Xenopus tropicalis: one gene and its partners. The protein of the gene in region 1 interacts with the protein of each later gene in a biochemical or structural test. Links are inferred from orthologs where the notes say so. Each region holds a gene or a part of one and is shown in the gene's direction. Other genes may lie near its edges. The genes, in order: xpo1, ranbp3, ranbp1, abl1 and adar.

Region 1 (3,522 bases):
GGAAAGTACCCTGGCTGATCTGTGACACGTGGACCTCTGCTTATAAAAAGCTCAAATGAGAGTTCTGTGACATTCCATTTCACAACATCAGCAATGACAGTTGCTTCACAGCAGCAGCAAACATGTCTTGTGTCATAAGACTAAAAGTTGGGAAGGATCTTTAAAGATATAAACAAGGAGAGGTGATTTTTGTGCATTAGCTAAAAGTCAGTGTAAAACCAGTAAGTACTACTACTGTATACATCAGTACACTTTGTAGAGCCACACATTTATCACATTAAACTTAAAATCTCTATGGAATCTTTTTAGCTACAGAGAAATTATTAGAAGAAAAACAAATTGACCCTAACATTTCGTTTTAATAAGCTCCATGGAACTTAGACAAGGCTTACTGCTGCTCACTGGCTGGATTTATTAATGAACTGGAAAAGTTTACTTTTTAGATATACTATTTAAAATGTGTTATTATAACACCTGAAGGAAACTGTAACCCTCAGAAAAAATAGCCAAGACATTCGTTTTAAAGGAGAAGGAAAGGCTAAGTCACTTGGGGGTGCTAAAATGTTAGGCACCCCCAAGTGACTTTAATCGCTTACCTTGTACTCCGGGCTGGTGCCCCTATTAGGAGAAAACAGCTCCAGCCCGGGGTACCTGGAGCGATGCGCTTCCTCCTTCTGCCTGCGTTTCACTAAGACTAACACATAGGCGCATGCGCAGTAAAGTGAAAAGCCGACTTCTCTGTTAAAGTTCGGCTTTTCACTCTACTGCACATGCGCACGCTCGCAAAGCAGGAAGGAGTAAGCGCTGCAGGTACCCCGGGCTGGTGCTGTTCTCTCCGTACAGGGGCACCAGCCCGGGGTAAAAGGTAGGCGATTCAAGTCACTTGGGGGTGCCTAACATTTTGGTACCCCCAAGTGACTTTGCCTTTCCTTCTCCTTTAAAAGTTGATATATGGAATGTGACCCAGCTCCCTGCCCTTGATAAAATATAACACTAATAGGAGTCAAAGTGGCTCATCACTACCATATAAATACAAGAGACCTCATGCATAGTGCTTTTTACTGGGCATGGGGGAATTTCTTTCTTTAAGGGTTTTTTGTTTTTTTTTTTTTGTTTTTTTTTTTAATAGTTAATTGTTTAAATCATGTTTCTGTATGTCATATGATGTACACAACATTCCAGATCACCAAAAATCACATCACTAAGCACCATTTACAAGGTAATTTTAGAGGTTTTTCCTCTTGTGTATTATATAGTGAATAAACCTTCCATTCAGGTACATCAATGTAATTTTTCAACTGTTTTTTCATTTTTAGATATTAAAACAGGAATGGCCTAAACATTGGCCCACGTTTATCAGTGATATTGTGGGAGCAAGCAGAACCAGTGAAAGCCTTTGTCAGAACAACATGGTCATTCTGAAACTGTTAAGTGAAGAAGTTTTTGATTTTTCCAGTGGTCAGATAACACAAGTGAAAGCCAAACACCTGAAAGACAGGTTTGTTTAATAACCTTGCACCCTTGCTTTCTTTCTGCTCGTGTATACTTTGTTTTGTAAATATACTGGCTATACATATTTAGCATTCTGCGACAGTTAGAGACCCTGGTCTTAACCGAGTGCGATTGTGCTATGTTTTAGTGCTAAAAAGCTAAGGAAACCTTTCTCATCAAAAATGGGAAATTAGGACCCTGCCATAGAGGTTGTGTTGGTTAGGTATGCCTGCACGTCTTCGCATGACTAACCATACATATGTCTTTGACCCACTAAATTGTTACTTTCCTGAGATGTCCTAAGTAAAACACTACAATTTTTTATTTAATATGACTTAATATTGTATATGAATAATTCCTAAGTGAGATGGTATATCATAGCAGCTGCACCTTAAAAATAAGGCCCTCTGGAACCCTAGCTGTGGGGATGATTTAGCAATGAGTTTTAAAAATGTTAGTATCCTTTTCTAAAATATTTCTCTTGGGCCTTTTGAAGGTGATTTCTATAAATGTGGCTCAAAGTATACAAATATATTACATATTCTATTCTATGTTTTTATATTCTGTTCTCTGCTGATAAATAACTGAAAGCTCCTTTCCCTTTGCAGTATGTGCAATGAGTTCTCCCAGATATTTCAGCTGTGTCAGTTTGTAATGGTAAGTTACAGCAGTTGCTGCTCTGTTTTTGCCACAATAAAAATTTTGTTAACATTTCAGCAAATAGTCTCTAGCACTAGCATTGTCACAATGAGGTTTCTATTTTGGGTAGTTAGAAGGGTTTAATTTTTCTGAGTTTGCAAAGTACAAATTTCCAACACAATGTGTTTTTTTTTACCCACAGTGCAACATTTTCACATAATTCCAATGTAATTGTGGTTGCCAGGGGAAATGCGTCTGAAGCGATTGCAGGCAGTGTGTCTAAATTAGTGCTTACGCTTCAGTTGGAATAATCTCTGAGATGAGAGTGATGTGTTCTGCTGAGTCTTGCTTCAACAGTTGATGCAGGCCATTGTGAGCACTGGAACTACTGCCTGGTTCAGAGGTGGCAGTAGTGCCAGGCGTCCTAAAGTGGCCTGGCAAAAGGAGGCATTCAGTGGTGCCAAGTATAACAACATGCTAGAATAGGGGTGGCCAGACCTTTCTCATCGCCGATCAACTGATGACCGGGGAATGCGGAAGTGCGGCGTGAATGAGTACATACGTGACGCAGCATACGTATGCATTCACGCAGCACTTCCGCATCCCCGGCTTCATTGCGGCCCACCAGAAATCCACATGAGAACGACATATTGGCCACCCCTGTGCTAGAACATGGTTGACGCCAGTACATTTAGGGGGAGATTTATCAACATTCAAGTTTTTTTGCTCTTAAACTTGAACTCAAATTATGTTTCAAGATCTTGAATATCTGGTATTAAGTGCAAAATACCCAAAAACTCAAATGCAAAAATTTGCCATCTAAAAGCTTGTGAGATTCTATAGAAGTCAGTGGAAGTCCTAGGCAAGTCAAACTACATATTCAAACTTGAGTTCTTTGAGTTTGTAAATTCGAAAAAATTTGAGGTATTCAAGTGTTTTCCTTATTAATAAATAAATAAATGAGCATTCAATATAGGAGTTTGTTTGATTTAGAAAAACAAACTCAATTTTCCAAACTTGAAAGTTGATATTAATTTTTTTTTTTATGCGACTGATGCAGATAAACTTGCAGCCCTGCAAATGCTCTTGCACTTGTTACTGACCCCTAATATATCCATAGTGTACACTTTTCTTTATAATATACAGTTAGAAACTGGTATTCAAATATAAAACCTTTTTATGCTTAATTGTAAGAACAGGCAATGCATCTTGTACTAGTACTAATCTATGCTAATTCAATATTTTAAAAATTTTTAGGAAAATTCACAAAATGCTCCACTTGTTCATGCTACTCTGGAAACGCTCCTTCGATTTCTTAACTGGATTCCTCTAGGATATATCTTTGAAACCAAACTCATCAGCACGCTCATATATAAGGTGCAGTTCATTTAT
Region 2 (2,539 bases), on another chromosome or scaffold:
GTAAAGAACATTATGTATCCCTTTCGCCTGCTGGATCTAGCAGTATCTTTGTACACTCATGAGCACAATATGTAAGCTTTTGTGTTTAAAAGGTGTTCTTCCTATACTATTTAAAAAAAAAAAATCCCTTATTTTGTTTCATTATATAATACTAATTTAAGATTGATTCCCTCATCTTACATAAGATAGTAAATGCTGCTTGAAGTCGCAACTTTTTTAGGCTTGGTGATAAGGAAAAGTTCACTTACGAATAGCTGGTAATTGATTTTAGTAGCTTCTCTAGCAGCTGAAACCCCAGTAATAAAAACAGTCTATATTTGTTAATATGTTACAATAGACTTGTAATTTAGCTGCCAGAGAGGCTAACAGGTTTTTCTTTTGTTCAATCAGGCAAGCTCTAAAGATACTGGACAGCTTTTTGCTGCATTACATCACCGCATCCTTGCTTTAAGGAGTCATGTTGAGCAGGAGGCTGAAATAAAGTGTCCAGAACCTGTTAGGGAAGTGGCCCAGTCCATTGAAGAGGACAGTGATGATGATGACGATGTCCTCACCCCCTCAGGGGCAAATGTTGGAGGTAATATTTTCTTTAAGAGACATTTAGTGTGTTTTTGTTTTTTTTTACATTTAGATCACAAAATCAGATATTACACAATTTTAATTTTGATGTTTTATTTGGATCAAAAGTAACCTTCAAGGACATCTATCACCCTAAATTTGTTTTCCCCAGCAGAGGTGCAGGTTAATAGAACCCACACTCCGGTTGGGAGCTACCAGTGCAGGCAGCCATGTTATTTAGCGCATGTGCACACAATGAGACTCCCCACTTGCTCATTATGCACAACTGCCCTCCTTCACATGCATGTGTATAATGAGCAAGTTGTGGCACTTGCTTGTTATGCCCATGCAAGTATCACAACATGGCTGCCCAAATCATGTAGGAGGCTTTTTTTTCCCCCCCCCCTAACTGGAGAGCGGGCTCTATTAGCCCCCATCTCTGGCGGGGGAAGCAATTTTAGGGTAATGGGTGCCCTTTAAGGGATTTCCCCCTTATAACACACTTATTCTCTTGTTTCAGCACCCGGTGACGAGGGAGACAAGCTACCAGCATCCAGTACATAGCACCCACCTCTTACAACAGCTCCCCTTTAACCTCATTGGGTGATAGTCCACCGCTCCCTTCTAACCTTATGGAGTATTGAAGACCAGCTCCTAAAAGCAAGGCAGAGCTTAAGGACACAGACTTCTCACCCATCCCCTGGAACTGCTATTTTTTTTTTTTTTTTTTTTCACGTTAAATCAGAATAAACATACTTTGGGTTCCTATCAAGGTATTTTTATTTTTCTTCCCCCTGAAGATGTTACACGTGGAATCCATCCAATCTTATACATGAAGAGCTTTTGCCTGGATGTCTGAGGATATAACCGCTCATCATATTGATGAGCCAAAGAAAATTTCCACCTGCCCCACCACCCTCTTGTAACTGAAGTTGACAGCAAAGACAATACCATCATTCAAAAATGTAATTTTCTTTTTATATAATGAAATGTTGCCTCAGTCTTTTCCTATTGCGTCCCCCCAACCTCCAAAAAAAATCTGTGTGTGTAAATATATGTATAAATTTTTTTCATGCCCTTCATTGCTTTTATTTTTGGATTCTTGACCAGGACCTACCCATTTTCTGAGAGATGTATAGGACCATCCTACCTTTCCCAAGTCCCTCCACTTCTAAACTTTAAATGACTGCCATCTGTGGCTTATCAAATTGGAATACACTTTGGAGCTACACACAGTTTTAAAAACACTCTTGGACAAATTGCATTCTCCTTTAAGACTTAAAACCTATTGGTTATAAATGGGATATTCCAGTTTTTCTCCTTTCCTTTTTCTGGGTAACTTTCTGTTGTGCTTCAAGATATTTTTTTAGTTTGACATATATGCTTTTTTTTGTGTGCTAAAAAAGTGAAATGTTATTTTTTTGTATCCTTATTTAAGGGAAAGAGTTAAGGAATTCTGTATTCTCATCATTGTTTTCCTTTAGTTCATTTCCACTCCTTTTGTTCTTCTCTGATTGCGTGTCTTGCGCTTCCATGGCAGGTTAGGGAACCACTGTGGTGTACACTGACACATGGTATTACAACATTGGTAGGGCTTTTCAAATGCCTTTTGAGGACACCAGTATTTTCTACTTTGTACCCCATTGTCCTTGGGAACAAAAAGTACTAACTTGTTCAGCCATTAAAGGTAACCTTGTTTATTAGGCATATTGTGAGAGAGGTTTGAAAAGAATAAGATGCCCCTTACTGTTATCCTAAAACTGCATAACATATAAGTTAGGTGAGAAACTAAATGAACTGGGAGTTCTAATGCAGAACATCATTACACAATAATATACCATTAACAACAAATATTCATTTGGGTGTTCTTACTGAAGAATGCTCGAAAGCTTTGTCCTATAAATATCCAAAAGGTCCAGCTTTAAATTTTTATAAAAGATAGTGTATAGTCATCGGCGAAACACCAATTTCCAGTAGTCTG
Region 3 (2,771 bases), on another chromosome or scaffold:
AGGTAAGATAAATCATAGATTGTCAGTGTAAGTATTGCAGACTCACACTGTACCTAACTGCAGACTCACTCTGTACCTAACTGCAGCCTCCAGTTTTGGTGCTTTTTAAGTCTGCAAAATAAACTGCAAGATCAACATCAAAGCTTTCTTAGTTTTTAAGAAATGCTACTTGTAGATCATGGGATAGTTATCTGAACCAATATGCTGTGATTACTCTTAGGCCTTGTTTTTTTTGTTCAGGAATTTTACTAATACAGCTAAAGCTTTTTTAAAAGAAAAGGTAATTATAATTGTTCAAGACCTAAAGTGTACTGTTGTGCTGATAACATTACTTAACCATGCAATATATAAGACTGATGAGCTCAGCCCACTGTAGGTGATTCTAGGTAGGTCTGAGCTGCTTGTACTGAAAAGACCCTTCCCTACCTTGTATGAGGGTCGATATATTCCAGCAAAAATATCGAACAACACTGATCTTTGAAAAAACATAATTTATTTAGCCCATATTCTAATATTCAGACAACATTTTGAGCCCCGCTGGGCCCAATATGAAACCTATTGTTAACTGAGTAAAGACTGTCTTGGCAGTGGGAGTAGTTGAAGTGAAACTCCCCTTCCTCTGTAATACTTTTTCTGAAACACATTACCATTTGCAGAAGAAATACACATCTTGGGTGTTTAATACTGATCAAGTTGGTGACGTTAAAATAATCCTTACCCTTTGCCAGTCTAATTATTTTACAGTGAATTAGATAATTGAATGGTTTCAGGGTCTTGTAAGGCAGTGACTACATGTTTGGTTGCAAAAATGTGAATTCAAGAGGTAAACAATGCAGAACCAGTGTCATGATTGCTTGAATATAGCCTTATATATGCTGCTATTTAACCAAACTAGCAAAGAGTGTCTTGTTAAGTATCTTCATTGCAAACTACTTGAACATGGCTTTTTTGCCTTTCTAAGCTTACCAAAGGCTGCGTGCACACACTAAATTTCTACTTATTAACACATATTAAATCATGATAAAATATCTCATGAATGTTTACAAATGTTTGGTGCATCATTCTATACATACAACCTGTAACACAATAACATTGTGCACCCGCATCATACAAAAAATAGTCTTCTAAGTTGTAGCACTAACCGCAACTAAACTGAGGAGTCTGGGGGATATGTGGAATGAATGATTTTCTCCACAATTTTGAAAGGGGATGCTGTGTATTAAGGGTAACTGTATATGAAATTGTCAGTGTTTGTTGAAACCAGTTTTTTTTTTTTTTTTTATCAGATACAACCAAAAATGATAGTGCCGACAAAGTGGCAGAAAAACTAGAAGAGCTGTCTGTAAAGGAGGCAAAAGTGCAGGACAAGCAAGAAGATGCCAAGCAGGATAAAGCAGAGGAAAAGCAATAAATCATCCAGAGCCTTGTACCTTTTATTTTTACAAGGGACTTTATAACAAAGTAAAAAGAACTGAGTTTAAACATTCAGGTTGTTTTTCTAAGCTTTTGCCCTTAAGAAGAAAAAAATCCATTCCCCGGTCATGAAAATGTACTGTTCACTTTCTTTTTCCATAGTGGAAACACTTATTTATAGTCATCCATACTATTGAATAAAGCCAGTTTGAAAAAAAAAAAGTTCAAAGAATGGGACTTTAATCTCCAATTGTTATGTATAAATGAAATGTTTCAGCAGTGGCAGTCTTGGGGCTGAAAACAAGGATATGTAATCTCAATCAACACTGCATAACTTCAGGAAGGTTTGATTGGATGAATGGTGTGTTTTTTTTTGCCCTTGGTAGTATGACTTTAACTGAAGAATAAATTTCAGCTGATGACTGATACATTTTGTTTTCCATGAATGCCAGCAGAAATTAATGATTTATAGGGCCCCAGCCTTAATCTGATTTACTCTCATACATCCTTTCCACAAAATGTTGTGAAGCATCGGTTAGCATTGGATTACCAAAGACTAGGTTGTCTTGTGCCACATGTTCTTTCTCTACACTTGGGGGGAAAAGATGCATGTGTTAGCTTAGCTTACAGATCTCTTCCACTAACCCTTCTACTGTACTGTATTGCTTACATTTAAATTACCATTACATATAGAATGCAATGCCTGCAGGATTTGCTGTGCTGAGTCTTAAATCTAAATGACACAAGTTGTTTTCTTTTGGAGAAATGTGTAAGTAGTCTGTTACAGAGCACCCCTGTATGGGTATGGGCATACAGGATTTGTAAAGAATTGTATTAATAAAGGGGCTGACTAGTCAGTTTTGTGCCTTTTACTTTTCACGCACCATTTTTTAAAAGACATTAAAGTGCTGCTAAAAGACACATTTGCATCCATTGATAAAAATCTGCACTCCAAAGTATGTCAATATTTAAAAAAAAAAAAACCATCTTGCATTGCCAGTGTATGTGCTACTTTATATTTGTATTCTGCCATTGCTTAGAAATCTGTTCCAGCTCATGCTTTGCTGTCTGCATTCTAATTAAATAGCAATCTTACAATTTCCTTATGGTTTACAACATTTTTATAATTGGCACTATCCTAGTTCAGAAAGGTAAAAGCACAAGAGTAGGATTATTTAACTGCAGATTTTATGGTCGCTGTTCAAATGTTCATAAGTTGCAGCCTTAGGTTCCCGTGGCACTGTATTTCAGTAATGACAGGCCTGTATAAATGTCGTCATACTTTACAAGTAAGGTAGTGGTGTGTGTTCTACACTTCAATGTGGAATTTAAACACCTTGGTTTGCTAGGGTTAGTGG
Region 4 (3,999 bases), on another chromosome or scaffold:
ATATCAGTTTATCAACCATTCTAAATTAGTTACAATAGAGATATATCACACCCAAATCTAACCCCTAGTGACCTTCAGGCTGGGCTTTTGAATGACCATCCCTGCCGTAACTGATCAAGGTAACCCACCTCCTACTGCTCCTGTGCCTAGAAGAATGCATTGGCTGGCATATAGATTATTTCGGATTTGGCTGGAGAATGTTCCTGAAACTCATAAGTTCCATAGTTCATTAATATATGAATGAGAATTCCTCATTGTTCTGCTGTAAACTGTGTGTGTAAGCTTTCTTCTGCTTGAGATTCCATTATCTCACCTCTCTAATAGGGAAGGTAGTACAGCATATATACCCGCCACAAGGAAAGATGGTTACTCAGGCCTTGCTGAGCAGATTAGGACTTTGCAGTCCAAATCCTGGTTGGGTAGCCTGCTCTAGTGAGCAAGTATTCTTGCTCTCCCACCTCCAATGGTAATGCTATTTAGTTGCCCTTAACTGGTTGATCTGCCTCCGGATTCATGTCACTTTCGGCCCACGGTGACATCACTTCCGGTTTTCCTGGGTTACAGGGTTGGAAGGTAATTTAACTCATTGTGGATAGGTTTGGGTTGCAGGTCTGGGAAGGGGGTATAGCAGGGTGGGGGGGGTACAGACCCATGCAGGTATCTACCTGGCTTAGTCCTAGATCTGCTGAAGACCAGGATGGGTTTTAGGAGGATACTAAATGTATTGCAGAACCAGATATATCTATAATGCTGCCAGCCAGGGCACTACAGGAGGCAGGCGTTTTTTATCATTAAAAACTTGGAACGATCTGGATCTATTAGCAATATTATCTCTCAAGGGCCACCATACAAAATGCATGGAAATCACCTTATTAGTAATCATTATTCCAGTTCAGCCCAAATATCCCCTTATCGTTTTCTGTGTGCAAATAGCTATTGTACTCAGTGCTGTGCACAGTATCCCCCTGTATATCTTATGCAGAGATGGGGGGAGTCTGAGGTCCCCATAACCAGAGCCATCAATCAGAGCTGAATTACAAGTCTCCCCACTAACTTTCAGCCTGGGATATTGGGAGAGAGTTCGTCAGGCTGGAGGGCTGAGCATCCAGGACAGGGTTAACAATGCTCTGTGCATATGTAGGCGTTGCCAGACCTCGGATGTCATCACTAGAGGCAGCCAGAGCATGAAGGGGGCCCTTTGTTGGCAGTCTAACGTAAGCAGCTCTCCCTGCCTAACACAGCCTGCCTAATGGACTGAGAGAATGAGCAGCGGAGGAGTCCCACCGTTCTGCAAGAACTTAGCCTGAAGAGTACCCAAGTTACACTTTTCTGCCTCCGGGACCCCCCCTCCTATAAAAATGGGTGAGATTGACCCCCAGGGGTCGGTGGCGTGAATCCCTGCCACCCAAAGCATCAGAGAGCCTCTCCGAGCCGGGGGCCTTGGGCTTCTTTGCTTCTCTTTGGCTTTTGCTGCTTTCCAGTTCCATAAAGGAGGGGAGTGAACCACAGCCCAAGTGCGTCAAACAGACTTGGAATCGACCAGGGCCAAGTGGCCTGACCCGAGCTGGTCTTCTCCTCGCATGCTGGAGGGTGGGGAAGGGAAGAAAAAGTGCAGGAGGCAGCAGAAGGGAGCGGGCGCATCCTGCATGCAACACATGAAAATGTTGGAAATCTGCTTGAAGTTGGTGGGTTGCAAATCCAAGAAAGGGCTCTCCTCGTCCTCCAGCTGCTATCTCGAAGGTGAGATAAGGGGGTGTCAGTGGGGAAAAGGGGTTGGGCGGAGGCAGAAAGGAGGGGGTTCCACTGGCCCAGGATTTGGCCGCAGCCAGCTGGAGTGCTCCAATCTCTAATCCCCTTCTCCTAGGCCTCAGCACAGATTAGATGAAGGCTGCTTCCCCCCTCGCTCCAGGCAAGGATTACATAAACATTCAGGCTTGCCTGGCGCTGGCTAGCTGGGACGGCCTAGCAACAAAGGGGTTAATTAACCCCGTGCAGCTTGTGTCACTACCACTCCCAGCATCCTCAGCTGGCCCAAAGTTCAAAAAACAACCACTCGACCCGATGTTGGGCGTTTTCTGGCCAAAAAAAAATACATTTTTATAGCATTTCCCACATCCTGTCATGCGTTTGCTTAGGAATGGCTGATCATGGGGTTCCTGGAGATGGGGGGTCGATAGGTAGTGCCCCTCGAGGATTGCTGTCATCTGGGGCTGGCACTCCACCTGTGGGAACTAAGTCCCACTGCCAACTTGCCCGCCTTCCCCTCGGCCCCCGCTCCACCGCAAGTTTATTTTTCACTTCTTCTGGTGTCCTCAGGCTGCAGTTTTACTGTTCCACTTGCGTCACGGAAGGAAGAATCCATTCTATAACCCACTCTCTCCCATGGGGGGCAACAGATGGAGTAGCCAAAGGCCTGGAAACCTTCTGTTATACCCACAAAGCCATCGGGTTCTGTTTGTTTATACGTGCGAGTGGCAGCAGCCATATTGTTTGCCTTGTCCAAGGCCACGGTTTCTTGAACTTTTTCTCAGGGGGCCCAAGTTACCATATACAGCTTAGGACCCAATTGAGGGTCCTCACCCATGCATTTACTGTCTCGGGCCTTTGCTCCCTATGGAAAGTGCCCCAGCCTAGGCAAGCAGTGTGGCAGCACCCACTCACGCATCTTAACAAACCTGGGCCCAGTTTGGCCACCCACACATAGGGCCAAATTGGACTGATCCAATCATTGGCCTGGGGGCCTACAGGCCCATCAGATGAGGACCACATTCACACACCAATTTTCTCCTAGGATGGAAACATTAACCCTGCCCAATCGATATCCTGTCCATTCTTGGTCAGATATCATGCAGGCAGACCCCTTGGTGGGGGGCCCCATACACAGGCCAATACATTGCTGACTTTGGCCAAATTGGTCAATTTGGCCAACTTAAATTGATGGTTCACCTTTGCATTAACTTTAAGTATGTTATAGAATGTCCTATTCCTAGCAGCTTTGCAGTTGGTCTTCATTGCTTATATTTTTTTTATAGTTAAATCGATTGCTCTGCGAGGCTGCAATTTATTGTTAATATTACTTTTTATTACTTATCTTTCTATTCAGCCCCTCTACTATTTATATTTCAGTGTCAAATTTAAAACCAGTGCCTGGTTGCTACGGTAAGCAAGACCCTAGCAACCAGATAGCTGCTGAATTACCAAACTGGGAGAGCATCTGAACACAAAGCAAAAAAAATGAAAACCAATTGCAAATTGTCTCAATTACTTCTTGCAGAGCATAATGAGCGAATACAGTTACCGATAGCTTTGTAACCAGTGACCGCGAGGGATGAATTGATATTGAGAAGTTGGTTTGAATTGGATTTTCTGTCATTAGGCAACTTTTTATATTTGGGTTTATATCCCCTTTAAATATGGCAAAGTGCAAGTGGCGCTACCAGTTGCTTTCCCGCACACCCAAGCCCCGCCTCCCCGCAGCCCCAAGCCCCGCCTCCCAGCAACGCTTGACAGAAAGTTTTCTGTTTACTCTCCCTCCGGCGCTTATTGCAAAACATCACTATTTGTCCAATTTCTCCCTTTTTTTTTTGTCTGTGCGAGCGCTTATTATCGGCAGCGGAACCAAATCGCCGTGGCGGGGTCGGCTGCGCATAAACAGGAATATTGTGTTAATCATTTTCATTAACTCGGACGTGATTTCCTTCATTGAAATTATTGGCTTCACTCGAGAGATTTGGCTATTATGTAGGCTCGTTCCATTATTGGCAGAAAGGGGGGGGGGGAGAGAGAGCCTGCTGTTCTCATTAACTATTTCAGCACCCGGGGAGACGGAAATAGTGATTATGGGAATGCCATAGGAATTATTATTAGAGGAGCAGAGAAAGCCATCGCAAAAGGGAGGCCAGAGGTCATTTCACCTGCGCCGCTGAACTGGCGGCTTCATCTGGAAATTATTCTTCTTGTTCCCCCCCAGGCACTCAGAAAGGCAATTATCCTGACCTC
Region 5 (3,522 bases), on another chromosome or scaffold:
AAGAATTCAACCGGCTAGAGAAGCTGCTGGCGTGCCGAGAGAAGAACCCCGTGAGTGGCCTCCTGGAGTTTACCCACTACTGCTCCCAGCATTGTGACTTTGTCCTCCTCAACCAGAGCGGGCCCTCCCATGACCCCCGGTAAGGTTAATCATCACTCAAATCCCCAGGGTACATTTTAGCAAGAGGTTTCTTTTTAAAAAAAGGAGAGGGGTAATAAGGTTTGAGCCCCATATATTTTCAGTGATTTCATCATTTCAGGCTCTGTTTATTGGTCACTTCATTTGGGCATTTCCCATTGGCAAATAGAGCACACTCATTCACTGAGAAGCTGCAAGAAACATGTCAGTGAATGATGCCTGAAACAGTAACTGTAATAGCCCACTGGCCCATTACATCAAGGGTTAAGCTGGCTATAACATGGGCTGCTGGTTTGGCCCCTCCACTGCATCAGGAGGTTATTGGCCCCTATATGGTGGCCTCCCAATGGTCTGATCGGTATTTATTGGGCAGGTTTAAAAATCCATAGGCTTGCTATATAATCTGGGCATTGGTTTACTGGCCAACACTCTGACCTGGCATTTGTCCACTTGCTTGACCTTGCCAGTGAAGCAGATCTCAAGGTGTTGCTTAAAGGGGTTTTTCATCTTTGAGTAAACCTTTAGCATGGCGAAAAGAGTGCTATTCTAAAGGTGGCCATACACGGGCCGATTGTAGCTGCTGATATGGGTCCCTTAGAAAGATTCGGCAGCTAATCGGCCAGTGTATGGGGCCTACCGACAGGCCTGCCCAACTGATATCTGGTCTCAAATCGGGCAGATCTCGATTGGGCAGGTTAGAAAATCTAGTCGGATCGGGGACCACAACGGCTCGTTGGTGCTGTCCCCGAACTGACTGCCCCCATTGCCGCCAATATAATTGGCCAAACGATCGAATTAGCCTACACGCTCCCCGATATCGCCCACCTTTAGGTGGGGATATCGGGTGAAGATCCGCTTGCTTGGCAAGATCACCAAATCCTAACGTGTATGGGCACCCTAAGACAATCTGCAGTTGGTCTTCATGCTGTCATTTTTTTAGTTATTTTACTTTTTGTTCTGCAGCTCTCTACTTTGGCGTTTCAGCAGCTATCTGGTTGCTAGGGCCAAATGGCCCTAACTTCATACACCCCATTCTTTTTTTTTTCCATCCTGAGGGCCTCACGTTTCAGTTTATTGCCTTACACCGCACCCTGCCAAAATCCAATTGCTTCTCTGTCCCCCTTGCCGTAGGTTCAAAATCCAGGCAGTGATCGACGGGCGCAGTTTCCCGGTGGCGGAAGCCAGCAGCAAAAAGACGGCCAAAAAAGATGCAGCGGCTCTGGCTCTCCGTATACTCCTGCGCGAGGAGCAGGGCGGGACGGAAGAGGAGGTCATGGCAGAGGGCGCACAACTTCCAGACGTTAAAGAAGAGGTGGGTGCTTCACGTGGGGGTGCCGGGGGCCTTCACACCATTCAGACATTTGTGCCATTACAAACCCTGCCGGTAAGTAAGATTACTATTCGTATTAGTGTTTATCCCGGTTGTGTTTGTCCGGTTCAGACCGCTCTTTTCTCTCACAGTAGTGCCTCTCTCTGAAATAGGTTTATCCGTTTGCTTCCGCAGCTGAAAGTTCCGGCACAGCCATTTTTCCCCAGCACCAAAAATCCCATCAGCATTCTCATGGAGCACGGGCAGAAGTCTGGCAGTATGTGCGAGTTCCAGCTCGTGTCTCAAGAAGGACCTCCCCATGACCCGAAGTAAGTGCCAGCAGTAACTGCCAGGAATCTCCGGGGGGGGGGGGCTCTTCTCTAGCAGACTGGTACATAAAGACCCTGCTGAAATGTCTTGGCAGTGCCGTTGTGGATAAGTTCGTGTTTAGCCCATATAACTGTAGTAAGAAACAAGTTTCTTACTGTGTAAGTAAAGGTGGAGCTGTGTAAGTAAAGGTGGCCATACACAGTAAGATTTGCTCATTTGGCAAGGTCACCAAATGAACAAATCTCCCCCCCCCCCCCCCCCCCCCCCCATATGTCCACCTTGGGTCTGGCTATATCAATGCGGTCCACGATCCGACAAAAAATCAAGCCTGTCCCATCAACGTGGACAGATATCGGTCAGGGAGGCCTGTTGGAGGGCCCCATACACGGGCAAATAAGCTGCCAACTTGGTCTTTAAAGGGGACCTATCACCTTAAAGAAATAATTCCAAATCCTTTTATATCATGTTAGTTGAACAAAATAAACTTTACCTATACAGGTATGGGACCCATTACCCAGAATGCTCGGGACCTGGGGTTTTCCGTAATTTGGATTGCCTATCCTAAGTCTACTAAAAAAATATTTAAACCGTAATTAAACCCAATAGGATTGTTCTGCCCCCAATAAGGGGTAATTATATCTTAGTTGGGATCAAGTACAGGTACTGTTTTATTATTACAGAGAAAAGGGAATCATTTAACCATTAAATAAACCCAATAAGGCTGTTCTGCCCCAATAAGGGGTAATTATATCTTAGTTGGGATCAAGTACAGGTACTGTTTTATTATTACAGAGAAAAGGGAATCATTTAACCATGAAATAAACCCAATAGGGCTGTTCTGCCCCAATAAGGGGTAATTATATCTTAGTTGGGATCAAGTACAGGTACTGTTTTATTATTACAGAGAAAAGGGAATCATTTAACCATTAAATAAACCCAAAAGGACTGTTCTTCCCCCAATAAGGGGTAATTATATCTTAGTTGGGATCAAGTACAGGTATTGTTTTATTATTACAGAGAAAAGGGAATAATTTAACCATTAAATAAACCCAATAGGACTGTTCTGCCCCCAATAAGGGGTAATTATATCTTAGTTGGGATCAAGTACAGGTACTGTTTTATTATTACAGAGAAAAGGGAATCATTTAACCATTAAATAAACCCAATAGGGCTGTTCTGCCCCAATAAGGGGTAATTATATCTTAGTTGGGATCAAGTACAGGTACTGTTTTATTATTACAGAGAAAAGGGAATCATTTAACCATTAAATAAACCCAATAGGGCTGTTCTGCCCCCAATAAGGGGTAATTATATCTTAGTTGGGATCAAGTACAGGTACTGTTTTATTATTACAGAGAAAAGGGAATCATTTAACCATGAAATAAACCCAATAGGTCTGTTCTGCCCCCAATAAGGGGTAATTATATCTTAGTTCGGATAAAGTAGAAGGTACTTTATTATTAGTACAGAGAAAAAGGAAACCATTTTTAAATATGTGAATTATTTGATTAAAATGGAGTCTTTGGGAGATGGGCTTTCGGTAATTTGGAACTTTCTGCATAATGGGTTTCCGGATAAGTGGTCCGATACCTGTACTACATTCATTATATAAATCTTGTTTCCCTCGGGCTTGCCAGTACACAATCACGGCTTTGCATCATTCCAAAATCTTGTTTATACTGCACTATCTGAAGTGCTGAATGGAAAGCGAAAGTAATTTCCTGCCCCTATGCCTGAAGCATAGA

What was found.
Region 2: the proteins of xpo1 (region 1) and ranbp3 form a complex in vitro, tested with the Homo sapiens proteins (2 studies listed by BioGRID). The link is inferred for Xenopus tropicalis from reciprocal best matches to the Homo sapiens genes XPO1 and RANBP3.
Region 3: the proteins of xpo1 (region 1) and ranbp1 form a complex in vitro, tested with the Homo sapiens proteins (3 studies listed by BioGRID, with this or other methods). The link is inferred for Xenopus tropicalis from reciprocal best matches to the Homo sapiens genes XPO1 and RANBP1.
Region 4: the proteins of xpo1 (region 1) and abl1 interact in a test that uses a peptide from one of them, tested with the Homo sapiens proteins (2 studies listed by BioGRID). The link is inferred for Xenopus tropicalis from reciprocal best matches to the Homo sapiens genes XPO1 and ABL1.
Region 5: the proteins of xpo1 (region 1) and adar form a complex in vitro, tested with the Homo sapiens proteins (2 studies listed by BioGRID, with this or other methods). The link is inferred for Xenopus tropicalis from reciprocal best matches to the Homo sapiens genes XPO1 and ADAR.

The regions. Positions count from the first base shown.
Region 1 is NC_030681.2:33,568,534-33,572,055, forward strand, and holds part of xpo1 (exportin-1), read left to right. Parts: intron 1-1,316; coding exon 1,317-1,498; intron 1,499-2,099; coding exon 2,100-2,148; intron 2,149-3,387; coding exon 3,388-3,507; intron 3,508-3,522. UniProt on the Homo sapiens protein: Mediates the nuclear export of cellular proteins (cargos) bearing a leucine-rich nuclear export signal (NES) and of RNAs.
Region 2 is NC_030677.2:101,757,084-101,759,622, reverse strand, and holds the end of ranbp3 (ran-binding protein 3), read left to right. Parts: intron 1-390; coding exon 391-577; intron 578-1,078; coding exon 1,079-1,122; 3' UTR 1,123-2,025; downstream 2,026-2,539. UniProt on the Homo sapiens protein: Acts as a cofactor for XPO1/CRM1-mediated nuclear export, perhaps as export complex scaffolding protein. Bound to XPO1/CRM1, stabilizes the XPO1/CRM1-cargo interaction. In the absence of Ran-bound GTP prevents binding of XPO1/CRM1 to the nuclear pore complex.
Region 3 is NC_030677.2:155,381,449-155,384,219, forward strand, and holds the end of ranbp1 (ran-specific GTPase-activating protein), read left to right. Parts: coding exon 1-2; intron 3-59; exon of another isoform or gene 60-191; intron 192-1,286; coding exon 1,287-1,411; 3' UTR 1,412-2,270; downstream 2,271-2,771. UniProt on the Homo sapiens protein: Plays a role in RAN-dependent nucleocytoplasmic transport. Alleviates the TNPO1-dependent inhibition of RAN GTPase activity and mediates the dissociation of RAN from proteins involved in transport into the nucleus.
Region 4 is NC_030684.2:12,824,032-12,828,030, reverse strand, and holds the start of abl1 (tyrosine-protein kinase ABL1), read left to right. Parts: upstream 1-1,179; 5' UTR 1,180-1,580; coding exon 1,581-1,740; intron 1,741-3,999. UniProt on the Homo sapiens protein: Non-receptor tyrosine-protein kinase that plays a role in many key processes linked to cell growth and survival such as cytoskeleton remodeling in response to extracellular stimuli, cell motility and adhesion, receptor endocytosis, autophagy, DNA damage response and apoptosis.
Region 5 is NC_030684.2:142,279,565-142,283,086, forward strand, and holds part of adar (double-stranded RNA-specific adenosine deaminase), read left to right. Parts: coding exon 1-139; intron 140-1,269; coding exon 1,270-1,522; intron 1,523-1,642; coding exon 1,643-1,776; intron 1,777-3,522. UniProt on the Homo sapiens protein: Catalyzes the hydrolytic deamination of adenosine to inosine in double-stranded RNA (dsRNA) referred to as A-to-I RNA editing.